2 linked regions of the Oreochromis niloticus genome follow. The protein of the gene in region 2 purifies or fractionates together with the protein of the main gene of each other region. This does not show direct contact. Links are inferred from orthologs where the notes say so. Each region holds a gene or a part of one and is shown on either strand. Other genes may lie near its edges.

Evidence for each region.
Region 1: the proteins of vars1 (region 2) and eef1b2 fractionate together in Homo sapiens (co-fractionation; 3 studies listed by BioGRID, with this or other methods). This does not show direct contact. The link is inferred for Oreochromis niloticus from reciprocal best matches to the Homo sapiens genes VARS1 and EEF1B2.

Annotation. Positions count from the first base shown.
Region 1 is NC_031980.2:39,040,663-39,051,245, forward strand, and holds eef1b2 (elongation factor 1-beta), read right to left. Parts: upstream 3,747-10,583; 5' UTR 3,574-3,746; coding exon 3,494-3,573; intron 3,128-3,493; coding exon 3,005-3,127; intron 2,932-3,004; coding exon 2,799-2,931; intron 2,723-2,798; coding exon 2,656-2,722; intron 2,482-2,655; coding exon 2,356-2,481; intron 1,747-2,355; coding exon 1,679-1,746; intron 1,552-1,678; coding exon 1,465-1,551; 3' UTR 1,445-1,464; downstream 1-1,444. UniProt on the Homo sapiens protein: Catalytic subunit of the guanine nucleotide exchange factor (GEF) (eEF1B subcomplex) of the eukaryotic elongation factor 1 complex (eEF1).
Region 2 is NC_031976.2:23,842,436-23,852,890, reverse strand, and holds the start of vars1 (valine--tRNA ligase), read right to left. Parts: upstream 4,323-10,455; 5' UTR 4,211-4,322; intron 3,709-4,210; 5' UTR 3,707-3,708; coding exon 3,350-3,706; intron 3,266-3,349; coding exon 3,122-3,265; intron 3,031-3,121; coding exon 2,829-3,030; intron 2,743-2,828; coding exon 2,627-2,742; intron 2,017-2,626; coding exon 1,941-2,016; intron 351-1,940; coding exon 250-350; intron 157-249; coding exon 29-156; intron 1-28. Other genes in the region: uncharacterized protein si:ch73-54f23.2, read right to left, coding at 5,685-6,206, 7,195-8,004, 9,448-9,762. UniProt on the Homo sapiens protein: Catalyzes the attachment of valine to tRNA(Val).

The DNA.
Region 1 (10,583 bases), on a different chromosome or scaffold from region 2:
AGCTGACCTTTTAACTGATTCTTTGATTTCCAGATGTTTTCAGTGAGACTGACTGATTTCATATGAACCACTGACTGAAGCTTAGACTGAGCATCTCACTGTCACACTGCTGTGTTACTGAAACCACTTTTGTTTGTAGATCTTTATCACCATCTGATGACATCTCTGGTGTCACGCATAGGGATTATTTTCTGTGGAAGAGTCACATGACCCATGAAACACCTGTGATTGGTTCAACACTGCCAGCTCCACTGCTTTTAAGTGACCTGCGGTTAAGGCAGTGTTTATAACCAGCTTCGCGTGACCTCTGACCCTGATCGTAAAAACGTGGTTCCTAGCGCAAAGAGCATTGAGAACTACACTCAGACTCTACCTTAGGAAATCATGAGGACAGTTACCAGATGTGTTGCATTTAGATGGTGTGACTCTCTGTAAGCCCTCACAGCTCCCGTTACCATGGTAACTCTGAATAAACAAGCAATTATGTCAGTTGTTTGTAAACGAAAACCCTTTGTTTACACGGCGCCGTCGACTGACCAATCAGAGCCCTTCTCTTCCTGCGCTCTAATTGGCTACTGTCGCCTGAACCGAGCTCTAATTGGTCGATTCTGACTGAAGCTAACTAGCCGGGTGCTAACCTTCCCTCTTAAACCTGACTGGTTAAACTCACGCTGGCCCCGACTTAAACCGGACTCGCGGTAACCATGGCGACGCCGCTCGTCACGCTGCCAGTGACGTGGCTTTACCCTCACAGCAGCTGTTAGCATTAGCACCTGGCTATGGGCTAGCATGGTTAGCCCGCTAGGTGAGGCCGAAGGAGCAGATGAGTGGCTGTCTGTGGGCGCAGTGCATTCACGTCAGGGCGGACAGAAACCGTTTACCTTCAGCTGTTTGTTCTCCTTCTTGCTTTTGTTCAGTTTCCACAGATTTAAAAGTCCTCCGCCGCCGCGCGTTGCTCCCCCTTCTGTTTAAGTTCCGGTCCGACTCTTCTTCTTCGGCTCCATTCGCTGCAACACAGCGTGGGCGTGGCTCCGCCAGCAGGCCACACGGAGAAGTGCAGCCTCTACAGTCCGCGTTCCCGGGTTTAAAAAAACAAAACAACAACAACACACAAAAAGTGTGATGCGTTTCTGTCCCCCAATCACAGCCCAAGTTACACAGCTCGGGATGAACATTACTCTGAACAGATTAATACAATGATTAATGAACTAGCTCCGGTGAAGAAGCAGGCTTTAATTTGAATCCACTGAAGAGGACGCGTCGACTGAGTCTGTGCTAAATAAAGTTTCAGCTGACTTAATGGTTTAATCTCAGGCTTACTTACACTTAAGTTTAGGATCAGCTCTGAGTTTACCTGAAAGCAGCTCTGAGCTCCAGCTACTCAGTGCTACAGGCCCCTTAACCAACAGGTGTAAGTGTGTGTACAGGTGAGTCAAACACAGTGTGTGGTGCAGAGCTTTTATTTCAGATTTTATTGAATGCAGCGACGTCCATCGATTGTACAAAGTCCTCGAACTCCGTGATCTTCTCCTCCAGGATGTCGGTGCCCACCTGAGACAGATGACATCACAGAGGTGAGCTCACACACAGGCAACAGCATTTACTGCTGCAGGAGTGCCACAGGTGATCTAATCAACCTGACAGGCACCTAATCAGCAATCAATAACAGGCCACTCACCTTGTCATCCTCCACCACACAGTTGATCTGCAGCTTCTTGATGCCGTAACCCACGGGAACCAGTTTGGCTGCAGGACAGATCAATCACAGTTAGCGATCAGCAACTCCAAGCTGCAGCTATCGGGTTATTGGTCAGTGATCAGAAGCTCTCAGATCAGTAAGAGTCGATCAGTGATCAGCCGAAAGATGGTGAGTTAGATCATCAGTGAGCCTGATCAATACTCTACACACAAATCAATAATCAAGTGTCTGCAGGAATCACACCCACTCTGATCAATAACCCATTATCAATAAACAGATCAGAACATCAAAATGAGCCTGTACTGATCTATAATCAATACTTCAGGTGTCACAGGTATACCGAGTCACCCAATAACTGATCAGCTCCATTGATCCATCAGTACTCATCTATAGTCAATGATCACGGCGTTACCAATGACTTAACTGACAGAGTACTGATCAGTACGTCACTACTACTGCGTGTTAGACACTACTACTACCACCACATCATCTGGTACAATGATTACTTTAATGCTACTGCAGTGCTACCAGTAGTATTACTCTGCAGTACCCACACCAGCCCATCCATCCGGATACTGACTCCAACCTTGTGTGTAATACTTTAACCCCACAGTGGTGGGTGTAATAGTGTATGCAGTATTTGCAGTAGTACTCACACTGGCCCCACACCAGCCCGTCCATCTGGATACTGCGTACGCACTCCTCGAGCTTCGCCATGTCCGTCTCGTCGTCCCATGGCTTCACGTCCAATAGAATTGAAGACTTGGCGATGACTGCGGGCTCTGCAGGAGAGGGGAGGGGGTTAGTTACTGTGGAAATGGAGCGAGCCACGAGCCGTGCGAGGGCGGGACTCGTCAGGCAGAAAAGGCATCCATCAGGCGTCAGCCGAAAGATGGTGATTGGTTAATCATCACAGAGTCTGTATGACGCATTGGTTGCAAGGGGGGCGGACCTACTTTTAGCCTTCTTGGCGGCATAGGCAGCGAGGCGCTCCTCCTTCAGCCGGGTCGCCTCAGCATCTTCCTTTTAAACCAAAACTCAGGGTTAAAGGTTAGAGTGACAACGCTGTAGCATCATGGTGACATCGCCACCTCCTCACCTCCTCATCTGAGCCGAACAGGTCGATGTCATCATCGTCCTCGTCTTTGGCTGTGGTGGGGGCGGAGCCTGAGGTTGTGTCAGCCACTCCGGGGGGCCCGTACTGACCCAGGGGCTTCTTCACACCTGGAAGACTGAAACAGGAGGCGAGGTTTAGTTGCTGCCGGAGCACACCGTTGTTCACCCCACGATGTCAGCAGCGCTCACCTGCTCTTCTCGCTCTGGTAGGAACGGATGTGGTTGTACCAGCGGAGGGCGTGGCACAAGTCAGCAGGGGGCGGAGCCGAAATAGCTTCGAAGACCGCCACGTCAGCCTGGGAGGGTACGTACCTGAGGAGAGAACACATGACCATGGCTAGGGGTACTCCAAGAGCAGGTGCAAGACTTCATTCCATCCACGTGGGACAGTGCGCAGACTCGCAGCCGTTAGCAGGATGCGGCTAACAGACTAACAGCTTGTCACGTCAAACGGAAGTGAATAAAAACGGTCGCGGCACGGACCCTTCCTACCCTACCCCTACCCTCCTTCCAAACCCGGTGCACTTCTCGCGCCAGTTTACCGTCCCGTTTCCTGTTTCCCTTCTTTAGCGCTTGAATCAACGCAGCTAACCGTTAGCCCGTTTGCTCAGCATGGACCCAACATGGCGGCGGCTATGCCGCAGTTTCTACCGCTTTACGGCGGCTCCCGGCACTCACCCTTCGATGTAGCTGCGGTCAGACAGGAAGTCGTTGAGCACTTTGAGGCCGGAGGCTGACTTCAGGTCACCAAAACCCATGATAAAGGTGATGAAGAGTAACCACGAGGACACGCGCAAGGATCCGCCAGAGGAGGAAGAAGAAGAGGGAGGACGCAGAGCGAGGATCCTCTTTATAGGAGGAGACAGACTCCTCCTCAGAGGAGTGCTGCCGCTCCGCCCCGAGGAGAAGAGGGAGGAGGAGGAGGAGGATGTCCCCAACTTTATTTAAAAACAGCTGCTTACAAGAGCCGGAGAGCGCGGGTTCGAGTCCAGCTCAGGACACGTGACAAACGTTCTGGAGCGACCAATGAGGAGGCAGCACGCTCTGTAGCTTTATTTAGTAAATCATTAGAGGAGACCGTGGCTTTGGAGCTGTGTAAATAAAGTGAATATTACCTGTATCTATCTATGGTTACTCCATCAGCAGCAGCAGCACCGATCCAGCTCAGCTGCTCCTCTGACTGATGTCAGATCAGTCAGACATGAATAATCGATAGTCTGGTTCATGATGGCTGTGTCTGAGTCCTCCTCAGTAACCTGATAAAGTAACTCCTGCAGGTGTTGGGGTGCTTCAGTGTTTCTGCATCTCACCGTGTACCTGAGCTCAGCTGGTCCTGGATCAGCATCAGTATCACATCATCCACAGTTCCACCCGCACCCAACAGTCAGACCTTCATCTTACAAAAATGTCATCCTGCTGTCTGATGGCACTGATGATGTCACTGATGATGTATATCATCATCTCCATCATCCCCAGCCTGATCTCCACGGAGAGTAAGATGAACGCTGCTATCTGAGCTTTGGGGGTGCTGAGCACAAAGAGAGCTGCCCAGCGAGGCAAAATAAACTTTACACATCACAATGAGACTTCTTCCCTGTCTCTGTCATCCCCTGCATCCTTAAATGTCTCCAGTTCTCCCAAGTTCTCTATGACACTCTCCTTGATGCATTTAAACCCCTGTTCCTCCCTGTCCTCGTCGTCTGTTGTCTTCATCTCTATTATCAGTCATCATAATTTTACCATCTCTGTGCAAGTCTGTAAATTTCTTTATTAAATCATAAGATTCTTAAATTCATCAAGTCTCTCTGTGCCTGGGTTCTCATCACAAAACATGACATCATTGTTTTGTACATTTTAACACAATTCAATCCCCACATTTGTGAAAGAAAAACAAAACACTTTTTTAAAAGTCTGTAACAAAACCATCAAATCTGATAAAGGTTATTTGAATGCTGCAAAAGAAGAATGGATTGGAATAAAAAAAATACATATTCTAACCTTAATTACTGGGGGAGAATAATGAATGATGCTCATAGTGAGTAAAAAGTAAACTGAGTGCATTTTTTGGACAGAGATTCACTTTTAATGAGTATGTATAATATAATACAGATACATAAAAAATACTCCCAAAACAGAATAAGTTATTACAAATAAAGTATTACAAAATATTAATAAAAAAAAATATAAAAATGGAGGCAACTTTGCCTGTGGTAGAATGTATACAATGTATGAAAAAATCTTTACTGCAGATACCAATTTTACTAATTTAATAATACTAATTTTGTGTTGTAAGATTTATGAGTTTCATACTTTCATAGTGGTACTTGGGAGAGCTCGACATTTTCCCAATGGTAGACACTGTAAAAAGTTTGAGAAACACTGATAAGGTAAGTGTATGTGTACTTTTGGAAAACATTTAAAGCTGCAGTACAGAATCTTTGAAACAAGCTAGTTTAAAACATTTTTAGAATATAAACAGAGCACTCTGCTTCTCGTTACAGCTCCTCACTCCACCAGGGCTGTTTGGCACTTTCTGATAGTGTACAAATGTGGTGCACGTACTGCAGTCATACAGACAACTGGACGGTCCAAAGGTTAGCCTACCTATTACTGGCTGAGGTTTTAGTAGAGTTGTGGCTGAACCACATAAAAATATATCATTAATTTTAATCTCCCCAATCAATGATAATGGTATGTTGGAATGTTGTTAAAGAGGGTCAAAAATGTTTCAACCCAGTTTGTTTTGAAGATTCTGTATAGCAGCTTTAATATAGGGAGAACGTAACTTCTAGATTGTATGAGTAAAATCAGGTTTTTTCTCTTTGTCAGTTTAACGGTTTCTGTTTTGCCTGTCACTGTTCCCTGTCTGTTTTCTTACCTGGTTCTTCCTGACCTTTCTCCTCATGTTCCCCTCTTTCCTCTCTCCCTCTTTGGACTGACAATCATACACAAATAGATTGTATTCAATTAGATGAAAAGATTACATTAATATGAAAAAAAAATACTATTAAGATCACCAGTGTTGGGCAAGTTACTTTGAAAAAGTAATTCAATTATAGTTACTAGTTACTTCTTCAAAAAAGTAACTGAGTTAGTAACTGAGTTACAATATTCTAAAAGTAATTAATTACTTGGAAAAGTAACTATTGCGTTACTTTAAAAAAAACAAAGAACGTTTAACCCCCTGGGGTCCAGGGTATAATTGGCCATTTTTTTACTACTCTTGATTTTCTCTCCACATTTTACCTTTAAAAACAACTATTTGCTTTGCCTTGTTTGGTATCATTCTTTTTAGCACAACCTTGCGTGCCTGAATTTACAGTTATGTTCTCATTTTGTCATACTGTATAACCAGAATTGATCTAAAATCAGACAAAAACCATAAAATCAGAGTAGAAAAAGTTACATTTTTACTGTAACAACCACAAACATGTTTAATGAATCATATTTCATAACTTCAAATGCAAATATTAATTGTCAATTTTAAAATCCTATGCACAAGTTTTGCAAACAACAAATTTATTTGCATCCATTTACCTTGATTTTTTAAACAACCATTTCAAACTATTTACAGAACAATCAGCTGTTCTTCAATAAGATGCCACACAAATTATTTGTGCCTCTCCAAAAAAAATAATTTCTGTCCACTATAAAGGAGAACATCACAGCCTGATACCTGCAGGTCTGACAGCAGCAGGTGTATCACTGCTGTTTCTACCTGGAGACAGCAGTCGCCTCATTGTTCTGACACACAACACAAAACTATCCACAACACTACACACTAACTACACAAGACAACACATTAACTACACACTCCAAACACGCTAAACGTCACAAATCTCACATCTCAAAACTCGCTCTCTCTCTTTTTCTGCTCTCTCTCTCTCTCTCTCTCTCGACGTCACTCCTAAAACTTCCCCTGTTTTGTTTTGTTTTTTGCGCATAAGCAGAGAGTGCTTGCTAACGTGGCGAAACTATTGAGGAAAAAACGCCGTATATCTTGTTTATCACGACTCTGGTTTTACGTGGCCTGTGGACACAATTTAAAAACTGGTATATAGCACCTTGTTGCTTTGTCTTTAAGTGGTCACGTGATTGACTTACCACGACTACTTTATTCTTCCTCAGTCAAACAGCAGCACTCGATTGTTTTGCCTCCTTAGCTCCAGGTGTTGTGCTAGACAGTGATCGTGATTGCCGTCCGCGGGAGCGCGCAGCTGCTTAAAGCTAGCGTCCAGATTACTTACAGCTACTTCCGTGCAGCTGATATAAGATGCGGTAAGCTGAACACAGTTTCAACCGTCTGTTTGTTGAAAAATAGTAACGGACCGCGTTTCCTTGTTAGTAACTGTAACGGTGTTGTAACGATAGGAATAGTAATTAGTTAGATTACTCGTTACTGAAAAAAGTAACGCCGTTACTTGTAACGCCGTTATTCCCATCACTGAAGATCACTAACAAAAAGTACTCTCTCAGTGTACTTTCAACCAAAAGGCAAATAACCAAACAACATGAACATCTAATAAAAGATATAAATATTGAAACACTGATCCAACATAATCCTTTATTGACTGATCATTTGATTTTACACTTTTACCTGAATGTGGCTCCTTTTTTTGAAAAGATTTCCTTATATTGATTATGAACTGTCTCTCTGTACACAAACACACACACACAACAGGAGTTATAAGGTTAATGGGCATCCAGTCAGTTAGCTAGTTAGTATCCATTACAAACAGGACAGTAGTAACAACAGTAGCCTATGGACAATTTTAAGTTTTAGATTTTAAATAGGCTGTATACATTTCAACGGGAACAACAGGACGGTCAAATGTCGCTGATTTTACTACAGAGCAGGACGGATTGTAGGGTAGCAAACATCGTCGGAAAACAAGTTTTCAACACTGCAGGTTACCTGGGTGTAATGTTTTTAAGCTAAAAAGAAACATGGTCTGACTCCTACCTAACTATATACAGAGAAACTGAAGGTTAAATGCAGCTAATATGTCCTGTTTTAAGCCAGGCACTTCCACCTCCGCTCCGCTGCATCTCAGCCACCATTGCTCTGGCAGCAACGGTGCTGGAGCCAGAGTTGGGGAGTGGCAAGCTGGAACAAACCCCATTTTGGAGGGGGGGGGTATCTATACTTTTGTTGTTGAAATGTTACGTCTCAACCAAGTACTGTATGCTTTTTATATTTTTAGTAGTGTGTCACAAAAACAGCAAATATTGTCAAAAGAAGTAAGAAATCTTTGGGGGTGCTTTGATTCATTCAAAAATGGGCTAAAATCGCCCCTGAGCTGAGGTATTGACATCAGCAGGTCATCAGACTGATGTGACCTCAGTAACGGCAACTTTTTTACTGTAAAAAAGTACTCCGTGGGGGTTCAAGCGATCCCTGGCAATCCCAAAATGTGACCTCAGCAGAGTGCACACCATCAACTGGCCAGTCAGGGCTAGAAGAACTGCAGGTCTGAGCATGTCCAGAACAGCAAACACTAGCCTTCCTGCAGGTATGCAATCAGAGCAATCAGTGAAGATCATCAGAGTTTTATCCTGCTCAGACATCACACTCCTCTGTAACCGCAGCCATTTTTATTTCACTTCTACTTGAACTGATCATAGTACAGTATTTTACTACTATAAAGTACTACACAATACAAGTACAGCCCTGGTGTACTCGTAGTACAGTACAGTTCTGGTAACAGTCACCCGTTCTCCACTCACTTCCTGTTTTTGAGGCGCTCGTGAGACTCACCTGAAGCTCGGCTCAGGACACAACAGGAGACGGTCGCTGCTTCACATTGTACCTGAACAGATGTACTGGTTTAAACCTCTGATCAGATCACACCTTCTGTTACTCTAAATGATGAGCTCTTTATAATGACATCACTGACACAAACAAACAACCACAGCGTTTATGTAAAAGCACTGCATTAGTTTCCTGTCTCTTAGACATATGAAAGCAGATGTTTCTGTCACCTGTCCCAGGGTTACCCACAGGTAGGACTCACACCTGTCCAGCTTCGCTTTCATTGGCTGTCTGTGTGGTTCAAACTCAATGTTTCCATTCAAAGTAAGATCAGCAGCTGCTCGTAGTTTGTTCACAGGTCCAGCAGAGGGCACTCTCATCCCACTCTACATAATAGTCCAACCTGCTAATACCAACTTTTATTTATTTTATTAATTTAATTCTGACTGACTCTCTTTCCCATGATGCACCACTACTACCAATCCTGTGATTCCTCAATCTGCCAAACCCCGCTGTACACTCTTGTTTACCTGTCCAGGTGTGGAGGCAGAGCAGGCAACAGATGTTAAAGGCCATAAAGGCCATCTTCAGTCAGACCCTCAGTTTAAATAAAGTTTGTGTTACCCTATTCTGATATGAGTATCACCTGAAACATACAGGTGCTGGTTCTGTACTCTGAGTACTTTTGCCCCTTTAGTCAAGTAAAGTTGTACTTGTCCCTTAAATACCGTAGTGTGTACCTGTGCCACCTCAGGCTGTAACATACCTGGACATGATGTATTTAACTGGTTTGTGTTTGATGTGTGTGACGTTCACAGGTTGACTCACAGCAAATAAACAAGGACGGCTGTGCCACAGGTAAATTTATATTGAAAACTTTATAAAGCAGTGACGTTACAGAAACACCTGAGCTGCTGGTGATAGGAGCAGTGAAATCATTAAAAATGATCGGCTCTTCTTCTCCTTTAAATTTGGGATTTTGTGTGAACTCGTCTAAGGGTCTAGAGTTTGGAGCAGGACAGGAAGTAGCTGTTCCTCAGCACGCAGAGCAGCATCCTCTGGCTGAACTCGTACATGTACGGTCCACTGTACAAGTAGAAGAAACCTGCGGGACACACGTCACCTGTTAGTGCTGCATTACAACCCAAGGACCCTAAAAACAGCTGGACAGATGCTCACCTCTGTACTACAGAGCTGCTGTCACTCCGGAGCTCATTTCCAGGAAGGTCTCATCCACTTGTTTGGGGTTTCCGTCATCCATGTCAACCCTGGCCTCGTCATAGCTGGAAGAGAAATGGGATTAGGCAGGTGGAACATCTGTGACGCTACCTGCTATTCTCCAGGTGTGACCTGAACACACCTGTAGTAACTGCTGCCTACAAAGAAAATAGTCTTCCTGGTCTGTGGGTCATGGAGGGCGGCATCCACCTTCTCCACTGCCGTGGGTGGACAGAAGCTGGGTATGGATTTAGGATACCCGGTCACGAGGGCATAGCCGCTGAACGCCCACACGCGGTGACCTGTAAACAGACGTGAAGAGGACTTCAGAGTGGACCTGTGTGAGGGAGGGATGAAGCGTGCTTCAGCAGATGGACACCGATGTTTAAAAAGAAGGACTCTCGTACGCAGTGTCGATGCTAACTGGAGCATCGGGCCAGAAGTTTGTGATGAGAGCCTGCTGAGGGGTCACAAGCTAGGGTGGCTACGCCAGAAGAACCTGACCACACTCAAACAATCATCTCAGCACCACAGTGGAGAAGAACGCTCCGCGTGGATTTGTTTTACTTACCTGCCCTTGAAGAAGAGCATGTCTCCTAGCAGCATGGCGACAGTGTCCAAAACCAGCGTCAAGTCGCAGGCGTCAGGCGTGACGGGCGCCATAGGGCCAGGCTCGACAGGGTCATCATTTGGACCTGGAGGTCATTTCATCAATGTGACATCACAAACAAGCTAGTGCACAAGTTCACTTAATCAAATAATGACTCAACATTTTTAGGCCCATCTAGTCTCACAATG
Region 2 (10,455 bases):
ACAAAGAAATTATAGTTTATTAAATTACCATCTGGTCAAACAGTCTTGGATGGCGTTGGTGAGGGCGTGACCCAGGTGAAGTGATCCTGTCACATTAGGTGGAGGGATGCACATCATGAAGATGCCCTTAGCATTTTCCTCACTGATACTCTTCCTCTACAGAATATAGTGACAGGCAGGTTATTTGAAGCTAAAATTATCAATTAAAAATCTAATTCAGCACCATTTTTATAATATCTGAGGACTTACCCCATACTCAGGCTTGAAGAAGCCCTGCTTCTCCCACCACGGATACCAGGCAGCCTCCACATACTGAGGACTGTAGGAGTCAGGAAGTGGACTAACAACATCTGGCAGCAAAGGTGAGGAAAGGGTTGAGTAAAGCATCTGAAGCTCACTCAAGTGAAATGCTGACAAAACTACTAATATCACAGTCTGAAAAGAAGGTGCACTTTTTCAAATATGTCATCACTCAGTGGAATAATAAACCTCTAATGAATAAAAAAAGCTGCAAAACCCAGAAGGACTAAATGTAAAGGTCATCAAAGTACAATAATACACACATAATATACAATGAGAAGTGTGATGACACTTGGATGTTAAGCTTTCTAGCATACATACGAACATCAATCCTGAAGCCTGAGGTAGAATCTGTTCCCCTAAATCTAAAGAATACTGTGGTTGTCTATCCTATGTGTCTTTTATTTTACACAGCACCTACTTGGTGAAATGTCCACATTTATCTAAAAACTAACTCAAGAAAGCCTTTATTTGTCACACGCAACCTTACACACACAACACAGACAGAACAACTTTTGTTTTGTTTGTGAATGAACAGCAGAGTCTGAATGGAGTGACCACAGGCCTGAGCTACAAAGCAGGATTTGGTGCTTACTGAGGCAACTTTAGGGTTAAACCTGGATTTTCTGGGTAATGACAGTGGTTAACTTGTGATGGGATGGCACATCACCATGGTAACTTCTGCTGCAGATCCATCTTGTTATAAAGGAAGTTAGGTTCAAGAGAGGGGGTCAATTGGTACAAAACTACCACCCACTGATCAATCAATTCTCCGGAAAATAGTGGTACCATTAACGTGGACCTCGTGCCCAGACAGCAGGAAGGTCTATTTTATCCAGCTTTACTTCCTGGCTTTAAAAAGCCTTTATTGACATAGTGCTTTTCCAATACAGCGCGTGCACACACGCACACACACACACACACACACCTCTAGAAACTGTACAGCTTAACTTGATTTACAGTGGGGGTTTTTTAAAATATTAGGCCACAGCTTAAATAATTTAACATGCTTTTGGTATCAGACACGTCACACTTGTAATGCTTTTAGCCCACACTGTTTGAACTTTGCATATTTTTCAGATATTACAGGTCTTTGTTGTTCTGCTGCCAACAGACCTGTCAGTGTTGTCTCCCCTTTCCTGCCCTACTCTCTCCTACTTTGCTCGTCAGTTCCCTCTTTATCAGCTGAGCCAGGTCCAGTCATTGATGACTGCTCTGCCTCTAACTAAAGGACCTTGTTCTACCAGCCTAAGCAGCTCTCCAGCATCTTCAGATCTCCGCTTCCTTATTTCTTTTTCTTGTAAGATGGAAGTACTGGTAGCCTGTCTTTTTACAGTTTTATTTGTTGGTTTACTTTTTTACCTCATTAGTTTAGGGAGAGAAGCTCTTGGTCCTACAACCCACTGACCCTAACGTGTTCCACTTTTTTGCTTCTTTTTTTTGCCAGGCCATTTCCTCTGTTTTATTTTCCGTTTAAATTAAACAGCTTGAAACTTAGGTGTGGCATCCGCTTTACAGGTTGTGGTCACTGAGATAAGGTAACTTCACAGTGCAAGCTGCAGGGAAGCTTCCCTGGAACACAACGTTACGTGCAATGTGCTTACAGTACACAAATCAACTCAAGCATAGTGAACACTCACCTTTTTTTTCTCCAGCAGTGGTGGCGATGTTATATGTAATCACTCCCAATTCCTTCTTCTCAGGTTTGGCCTTTTTCTGAGAAAAAAAGCAGAAGAAAAAAAGAGATGAGAGACTTTGAAATAGTAACGTCTTCAGTGACTGTGTTACTATCAACTACAAATCAGATGGCTAGTTCAGGGTCACCCTTTCGAATTTTCATTTTCATTTTCAAATTTTTGTGTTCCGTACGTTTGTTTTTCTTACAGGTGAGGCAGTTAGCGATAAATAGTGCATTTCTATTTGTACTCTATCCTTTTATTATGTCTTCCCCTATCACCCTCCTCCCCCTTTTCCCCCATATCCTGCCTTAGACATTGTCATACTGTATACCACATATAATGTAATAACTGAAATGACATGAACAGAAATGAAGAAATAAACAGATAAGCTCTGAACAAGAGCAGTCTATGGAGAATTTATACAGCTGATCACAGTGCATTGAGATCATAATTTTGACAGAACACAGCAGGACTAAAAATAAAAAAACAAGAAAGTGCTTGTATGAATGTAATATGTTATATAAATCACTTTCACTTTCAAGTAGGGTAGAAAAGCACTACACAAGAACAGATGATTTACCGTGGATATTTGCGATTTTCAAAACTTCACAAATGAATTTCTCTTTGTACATGTTGGGTATTTATACCTCAGATGGCGGCTGTGTCTTTTTCTTTGCTTCCATTTCTTTCTTCTGTTGGAATTTTTCAAGCTTTTCTCTCTTCTTTGCTTCTTTCTTCAGCTGGGCCTCCGTCTTCGGTGGGCCTGAGAGAGAAAACATCACAATGGCATGAGATACGGTACATTGCATTCTGCTAATACTTATCAAGTGATTCGTTGAAGTTCCTAACCGTTTGCTGGAGCGCCGGGAGAGTCAGCAGCAGGACTGCCATTAACAGCATTTGTAGCAGCATTTGTTTTTGGTGTGACTGGGACCATCTTTTCACAAAGAACGATCGCCCCCAGTACCTTCAGGAACTGTGGCTGATTAATGCAGGTCGTGAACCATCTGGTAACATTCGTTACAGCCTTCCTGTCTGATGGCTCCAATGCCTGAGTGTTTATAAAAGCATATTAAAGCTTTTCTGTTCAGAAGCTATGCAGAAAAACCTGTTAGACAGAAAGTTTAGCGCAGCACACATACATATTTGAAGGGGAGCAAAACAGCTGTAGCTACAGCCATATCAGCCAGGGTAATGCTCTCTCCCACCAGGTAGGTTCTTGGTGCCAAAGCCTGATCGAGAACCTTAAGAACACGCATCAGCTCCGCACGGGAACTCTGCTGGAGCTGAGAATGCACAAAGAGTAGGAGAATACATTTTTACATGAACAAATCAGACACACGTTCAGGTCCAAGGAAGCTTTTAAATACCTTCTTATCCACTCCTGTCACCCCCATCAGAGGGAAGACCACAGCACACGACACTGGGGTGAGCTCATTGTCTGCAAAACTGAGCCACTGCCAAACCTGGCTCTGCTGCTTAGCATCTAGACCAGCCCTCTTTCCCTGAAAGGCTAAGTACCACGACACAGCAGTGGCCCCGCTCACTAGAGAGTCACCATCCCCAGCGGTGCCCAGCACCAGGGCTGGTCTGGAGCGGGCGTTCAGAGATGCAGGAGGGTCCTCTGTGATGATCCGCGGCCGGGAGGACAGTCCATATTCTGCAGCTAAGAGAGCCAGAAGGCTCCTGAAGTCATCAGGGTGAGGGGACACGTAGAGAGTGGTCATCTCTGGTGAAGACACATTAAGGTTGCATGAAGTAAGAGAGAAACACTCATTTTGTTGCTGTAATTGAGCATTTCCTTATCAGACTGGATGGGTGTGTTTGCTGGCAGAAACACTGTTATGCCAAACTTCATGCCACCCAAGGGGATGTCCAGAAGGTTTGTCAAAGCAAACTGTTTAAACATATTTAATAAAATCAGCTTTAAGCATGTCACAGTGGGTATCAAAGGAGCTTAAAAAAAGGATAGATATGTTAGCCCGTTAGCTCTTTATTTCACTTTCTGCAGCTCTGAGCCGTGCCACCTGTCAGACTGATGAAAACTCATGCAAGCAGGCTAGTTAGCTTAAGCTAACGAGTCAAACTGAAAGAAGTTTTTCTTCAGCAGCTCCGCCGTGAACTTTAATAAACCTTTATTCAAGCTGCCACAACTTTAAATTCACCAGAACGTAAGCGTCTAAGAAACCTGCGGCTTGCTATTAAAATGTTCCAAAGCGAGTCATGCGTACCTTTGAATGAAACAGACAGAGACGTCAGCTCAGTTAGCGCACACACACAGCCACATGAATGCCCGTCTGATGCAATGAAACGGCATCGACGAGTTCCGGGTTTCAGCCGCCGCTTCCGGCACAAAACGGAAGTCATGTTATCTACAACAACAGGTCAGCAACAACTACCACTGAAGGTATTTTAATCAGCGATCGGCGATTAGATTAGATTACATTAGATTAGCAACGCCACTCTGTAAAGCTATTAAATTAAAAATTAAAGGACTTGTATTTTTTAAAAAAAGTCTTATTAAAGCTGTTAAAACTGCTAATAAAAGCTATTTAAAAGCAGTTTGCCTCAAAAATAAAAAGTCAAAGTATGATGGTGATGATAGTGATTATTATTAGTAGTAATACATAGCTATTACATCAAATCAGCTAATTGTAAGAAAATGATAATAAACAAGTAGTTATTTAAAAAATAGAAATTACAATCAGTTGACTGAATTTAATTACACAGACATATCTTTAAATATAAATACATTGACACACATAATGACTCTTACACTTTCGGCCACTTTACCTTCCACCTTAAGCCCCTGGTACTCTATTGTTTCGCGCTCCTTCCTCCAGATGTTGCTATTTGGACTGTTATGCTCCTTATCACCACTACAATGTCTGTTGATATATATATTACACCAAAACAATATATTTGCATGCAAATAGGCATAACAAATGTTTTATATCTCATGTGCCCTCGATAATAAAAATGTATCTGTGGTAGAGAGTCATCTTGCAGGTTATGGTTATATATTAGTATTGTTTCATCATCATTTAGTACAAATAACGCAGTTTAATAAATATAGTATAATAGTATAATAAAGCAGCAGTTTACCGATCTGGTAAAAACGTAATACCAACATCATCATGGTTTATTCTGTAAAATTCTGTCATTTTTTACTGTCTAAAAATACAGTTTGCAGTAGAAGCATAATATGACTAGGTAACTGGGTAAATATACATATATATGTCAAACTGTACTACTGGAAGAAGGAAACAAGAATATTAAATTAAGGAAATTCAAGGAAATGGTGCATGTCATGTTGGTAACCCAGCATACTCTTTTATTCAGATTGACAGATGTGACAGTTATCACACATGTTGTCATGAGTAATTACATCCAATAGCAGAGTGTGCACAGTGTTATTCAAATCACAGTTGGTTAAGCTCTCAAGTACAGCAGACTATTTGGGCAGCCAGTTTTCCACAGTGAATTGTAAGACCTACAGTGTAAGAAATGCAGTGAAATTTACTCCATCACTATTTTACTTCAAAAATAAATCCAGCAAACCATCTGTAACAACTAAGGCATATCAAATGACATCTTTAATTAGTTTTTCACACTTTCATATCTGGAAGAAATTTACAAACCAAAACTGAAACTTCAGGAAAAAAAAAGTTTATTAAAGGTGTTATCTTGAGTCTTTTTTTTCTTTCATTCTTCATTCGCCTCCTGCCCAAAGGCCTCTCTTACACCCCCAAAGACAACATCAACCATTCCAAATATAACCCCTCCACCCAGCCTGAACACATTGATCACTCCCTTCCCACTTCTCCATACCAGTCTCCCAAAACCTCCTCCTACAGCTTGTGCTTGACCTCCCATCTCTGACATCACTGTTCCCATATAACCCTCACTCTGCTCCCACAGCCGCCCTCCAAAGAACTTGGTCACCGACCAAGCATTATCCAAAGCATCACCAAATACCCCCACTGTGTCTCCAGCCAGGGTGCCCAGACCAGTGACCCCAATGTGGCAGCTGCTCAGCAGTTCCCCCATCATAGAGGAGGTGCAGTAATAAACACTACAGAAGCAGGTCTCCCCAATACCTAGCAGCATTTCTCCTGCTGTGCCCATCCAGGAGAGGAGGTCAGAGGTCAGTAGATGGAGCAGGGTGAAGGTCTCTCCAGGCAGGGTAGAGAGAACTCCGAGGTCTTCCTGGAGAACATAGGTGACCTGAACGCAGATAAGAAAAGTGAGTCGATTTCACAGTGTGACTGCAGGAAGTATAAACAACAAAAAGACAGAAAGCCTTGAGGCAATGCACTACACCCAGAATTAACTCCACCTGTACACCACACCTCATTCCAGTCTATGGGAGGAGCAGACTGGAATGAGATGATTTATTATTTAACTCTGAACCTGAATATGTTAATACATAACAGGTTAATACATAACACAAACTCTTGAGACAGTTTTATTAACCCGAGGCTCAAATGTAGAAACAAAATTGTCTATTTCTAATGATTTGTAATGGTTTTGTTTTCCTATTGAAAACATTAAGCAGAACCATAGGTTATTATACTGTTTAATTAATATATAGAGTCATAATATCTTTTAATTCTCAAGGATTGCTTGTAACTTGTGAAATGAGAGAGTCTCGGGGAGCATTAGTCAATCTGTGAAAACAACTGTCACACATGTGTTACACACATGTCTGGAATGTGGATCTGAGAGGTCTGACAAATCATGGAGATGTTAACAATGATGTTTTTACAAACTAGGGTGTGGCGAGGTAATCCATGAAGTCTCGGTAATGCTTTATGGGAAAGTAGACCCAGTATTGCAACTTGCCCTTGATATAGACTCGACTCTATGGAAGTGTATGATATACTCCCAGAAAACATCTTTGAGTCTGAACCTCTTAATATCTGCACATCCTTTACATAGAAAATAACTGTTAGTATGGTGAGAGGGGCAACTCAGTTTAAATTATGTTTATATTTACATTTTGTGTAGTATATTTTGGGATGTTTACATATTAGAGCTATTTCTAATATTTTGTAATATATTTTGTTATTTTAGTATTTGTACTTTAACTTGTTTGTTACTGTTTTTTCTGTCTTGGAATACCTGTGACCTTATAATAACCCATGGGATTAATAAAGTAATCTAATTCTGATAAAGTAAAACTATCTTTAAACAGTTAATGCTTTTGCATCACCTGTTCAGGTAGTTGTGTGATTGTAGAGAATACAGGACGCAAAGGAAATTTGAAGATGGAGAAGGTGATGGAGAGGATGGAGACCAGAGTGCTGGTGGAGTTTGTGTCCGTCTCTTCAGCAGTTTCATGTTCAGCTGAGGAGTCTGAGTCTGACCTGACAGCTCCTGAGCGTGTCACATCACCCTGTTCATTACCGCCGCTCTCAGAAGTTGCTGCATCTGCTGAAGTCTCCTGCGTGGCGTCAGCGCCGTCAGCTTTCCCTGACTGAGAATTAGCTGCCTGTTCTTTAGTTATCGACGCCTCTCGGCTTTCTGTGTCAGTTGTCTCCTCAACAGCAGCGACTGCTTCTGTATTTCCAGGAAGTCCCTCACTGTGGAGACCAACTCTGACTTCAACACTTTTCCCATCTCCTCCTCCGCAGCCTTCAGAGAACATTTCTGCCAATCCTAGCATGTCTTCCAGCTCCTTCACGCTCACTTGCCTCACCCCTTCCTCCGTCTCTCTGATTAACCCAACGCTGAAGCCACCCTTCCCCTGCGGGACAGCACAGCACGCCGCAGACCACAGCAGCTTCGTCTGACACTCCTCGTCTCCATCTTCAGCAGCCCCGAGTCCTCCCAGTCCAGTCAGGATGTAGAGATCACCCCCTACAGTGCTGCACTGGGGAGACACGCTTGACTGGACCAGTGTTGTGACTGTTGAATCCCAGTGGTGAAAAGGGGAGTCTGTGGGTGAGACAGAATGAGATGGATCCGCACCTCCTCTGAGAAGAGCTGGTGCTGCCACTTTAATGTCTTCTTCCTGCTCCGTCTGGCAGAAAAAGAACCAAAACCAGCAGTTTAACAACGAGTCCATCAAACTCTTCAATCAATGCACTCTGATTTTTAAATGTTCCCATATAAGGACACAACAACAACAGAAACATCTCTATTTCCTGTTTCTGCGTGCCCAGCTGTTGAGTGTTTATAATTATCAGTGTGATAAAGATCCAATCCAGCTTTTAAATTTATATTGTTTACATTTTCTTTAAGCTCCATTTTCAAATGATTTTTTAATGTGGAAAAAATAATTAGACCCTTTTCCTAATTAAAAAACTTTTTGTTTGGCCTGAGAGCTGAATGTTTGAAAAACAAAAGTTTCATAGGTGTTTTATTTTATATTGAATATACTATTATTCAAAGGCTCTGCATTACAAATCTTTAGTTATCCCCAGACACCTGTAATTCTTATACTTCTTCTTATTTATTATTATTCCAGATTATTTCCATTGTCTGTGATAAAGTAATCCAAGTAGAGCGCTTAACAAAGTTATTAGATCCCTAACCACTATAAGGTTTATACCACAGTTGCCCTAAAGTAACAGCATTGTATTTACGAAAAAAATAATGTCTTATGTTTCCTAATGGTTAATCCAATGCTAAAATTATTGTAGTTATTCACAAATTCTCTAATTTACTGTTTTGCAAAAAGCAGAAAAAAGATAGAAATGTGTTATTATTTTTGATGCCAAGTTCTGAAGAGAAAAATGTATTTTAGTGGTCGAATGTTATGTTTGATTAATTCCAGTGTGTCAGCTCAAATTTAGATATAAAAACATTCATTTAGTTTATTTGGCTATTAAATAACAATATGTAAGATGTATGTAATATGTAAGAATGCATTCTGTACATAAATGTTCCTATGAATCATGTTTTCTAAAACGATGATGATTTGACCTTTTCTGTATGAGTAGAGAAGTAACACCCTGTTTTACAAATGTATTTATTTTTTGTGTAAAATATGAATTAACGGTACCTATTTCAGCACTGAGTTTGTATTCAGATGTAAACACCTGAAAGTTTTTTAGAGATGAAATTTGTCTAAACTTCAACTGCAAAGAGTTAATAGTCATTACAGGCCCCTCTTAAAGGGTGGCCATCAAATCCAGGTAATCCAGCCTTGCGTTTTCTTCTACTTATCCAGTTCAGGGGCAATGGTTGGGCTAGAGCGTATCCCAGCTGTCACAGGGCAGGTGGCAGGGCACACCTTGGACACGCCGCCAATCTATTGCAGGGCTCCATTTTCTGTGTTTTTTACTTCATTTTCTCTATTAGAAAATTGAGTGGTTCCCACAACTGCCAAATAACTGAATTTAGAAAAATAACCAGTTTAGTGAATGTACTTAGTTACTTTACACCACATTTCTTTACTTAGAATTTCATCATTCAAAACTAAGCACTTCTACTTTAAGAAATGTGATAGATGTACTCTTACCACAGGTTCTCTCCCCTCCTCTCCCTCCCTCTCAGTCCATCCCTGGCCAAGATGGAAGGCAGAGTAGACAGCTGTGTCACAGGTCGGTCTGGACAGAGTGGCAAACGCCTGCCCTCCCGGCAGCCTGTGGCAGCGTGGGCGCAGCAGCGGCCCTGCAGAGGATCCCTGAGGAGGCGTCTGTCTGTAGAAGCAGTTGCTGCAGAGGGTGAAGTCTGCCTCCGAGTTGTCCTCAGCTGGGAGAGACAGGCCTAGGCCCAACACTGCCAGCAGGCAGACAGCCGCAGCAGCTGCACTGACAGCAGCAGGACACAGCATGATGGTGGTGAGCTTAGCAGATCCCCCCTCCTCTCTCACACACACACACACACTTACAGAGTGAGAGGGAGAGGCTTATAAATTACCCAGTGATTTCCGTATATAGATGAGAAAGATAATGTGGCCAAGGTTGGCTGCTGATGGCTTGTTGTTTTCCTCACTCGCTCCTTGTTTCCTCCTCCAGTTTCTCTGCAACCATGTCTGTCCGCTGATAATGTTAGCTGCACTCTGTGAGAGTGAGTCTGTGTTTGCAGGCACAATCTTGCTTACTCCTTCATTTCCCTTTTCCTGACAGCCTCGCCCCCCTCTGTCAGTTCCACCCTCTATGACTCTCCCTCTGGCTGTACCTCCACTTCACCCCTCCCTCTCATACTCTCTATGGTTACACCTTTAACTCCCATTTCTGTTAAGTACACAAGGAAAGCCCACACCTATTCAGAGCTGTCAATTACCAGTATGTCTGCATACCCAAACAATGGTCTCTGTGCAAGGTTATTCGATTGACAAACTCTTGTTGTTAGGTAAAGCGCCTTTCTTAAAGTGCTGACTCTCTATCAGATCAAATATTTGCTTTGAATTGCTTCCAGATCAAGAAGAATTTCACACCTAAAAGTCCAGATAAACGAGAGAAAGTGAACTGTAAATATAGCAGGGTTTGTTCATGAACTCCTTATTAGAGCTAAATCCGGATAG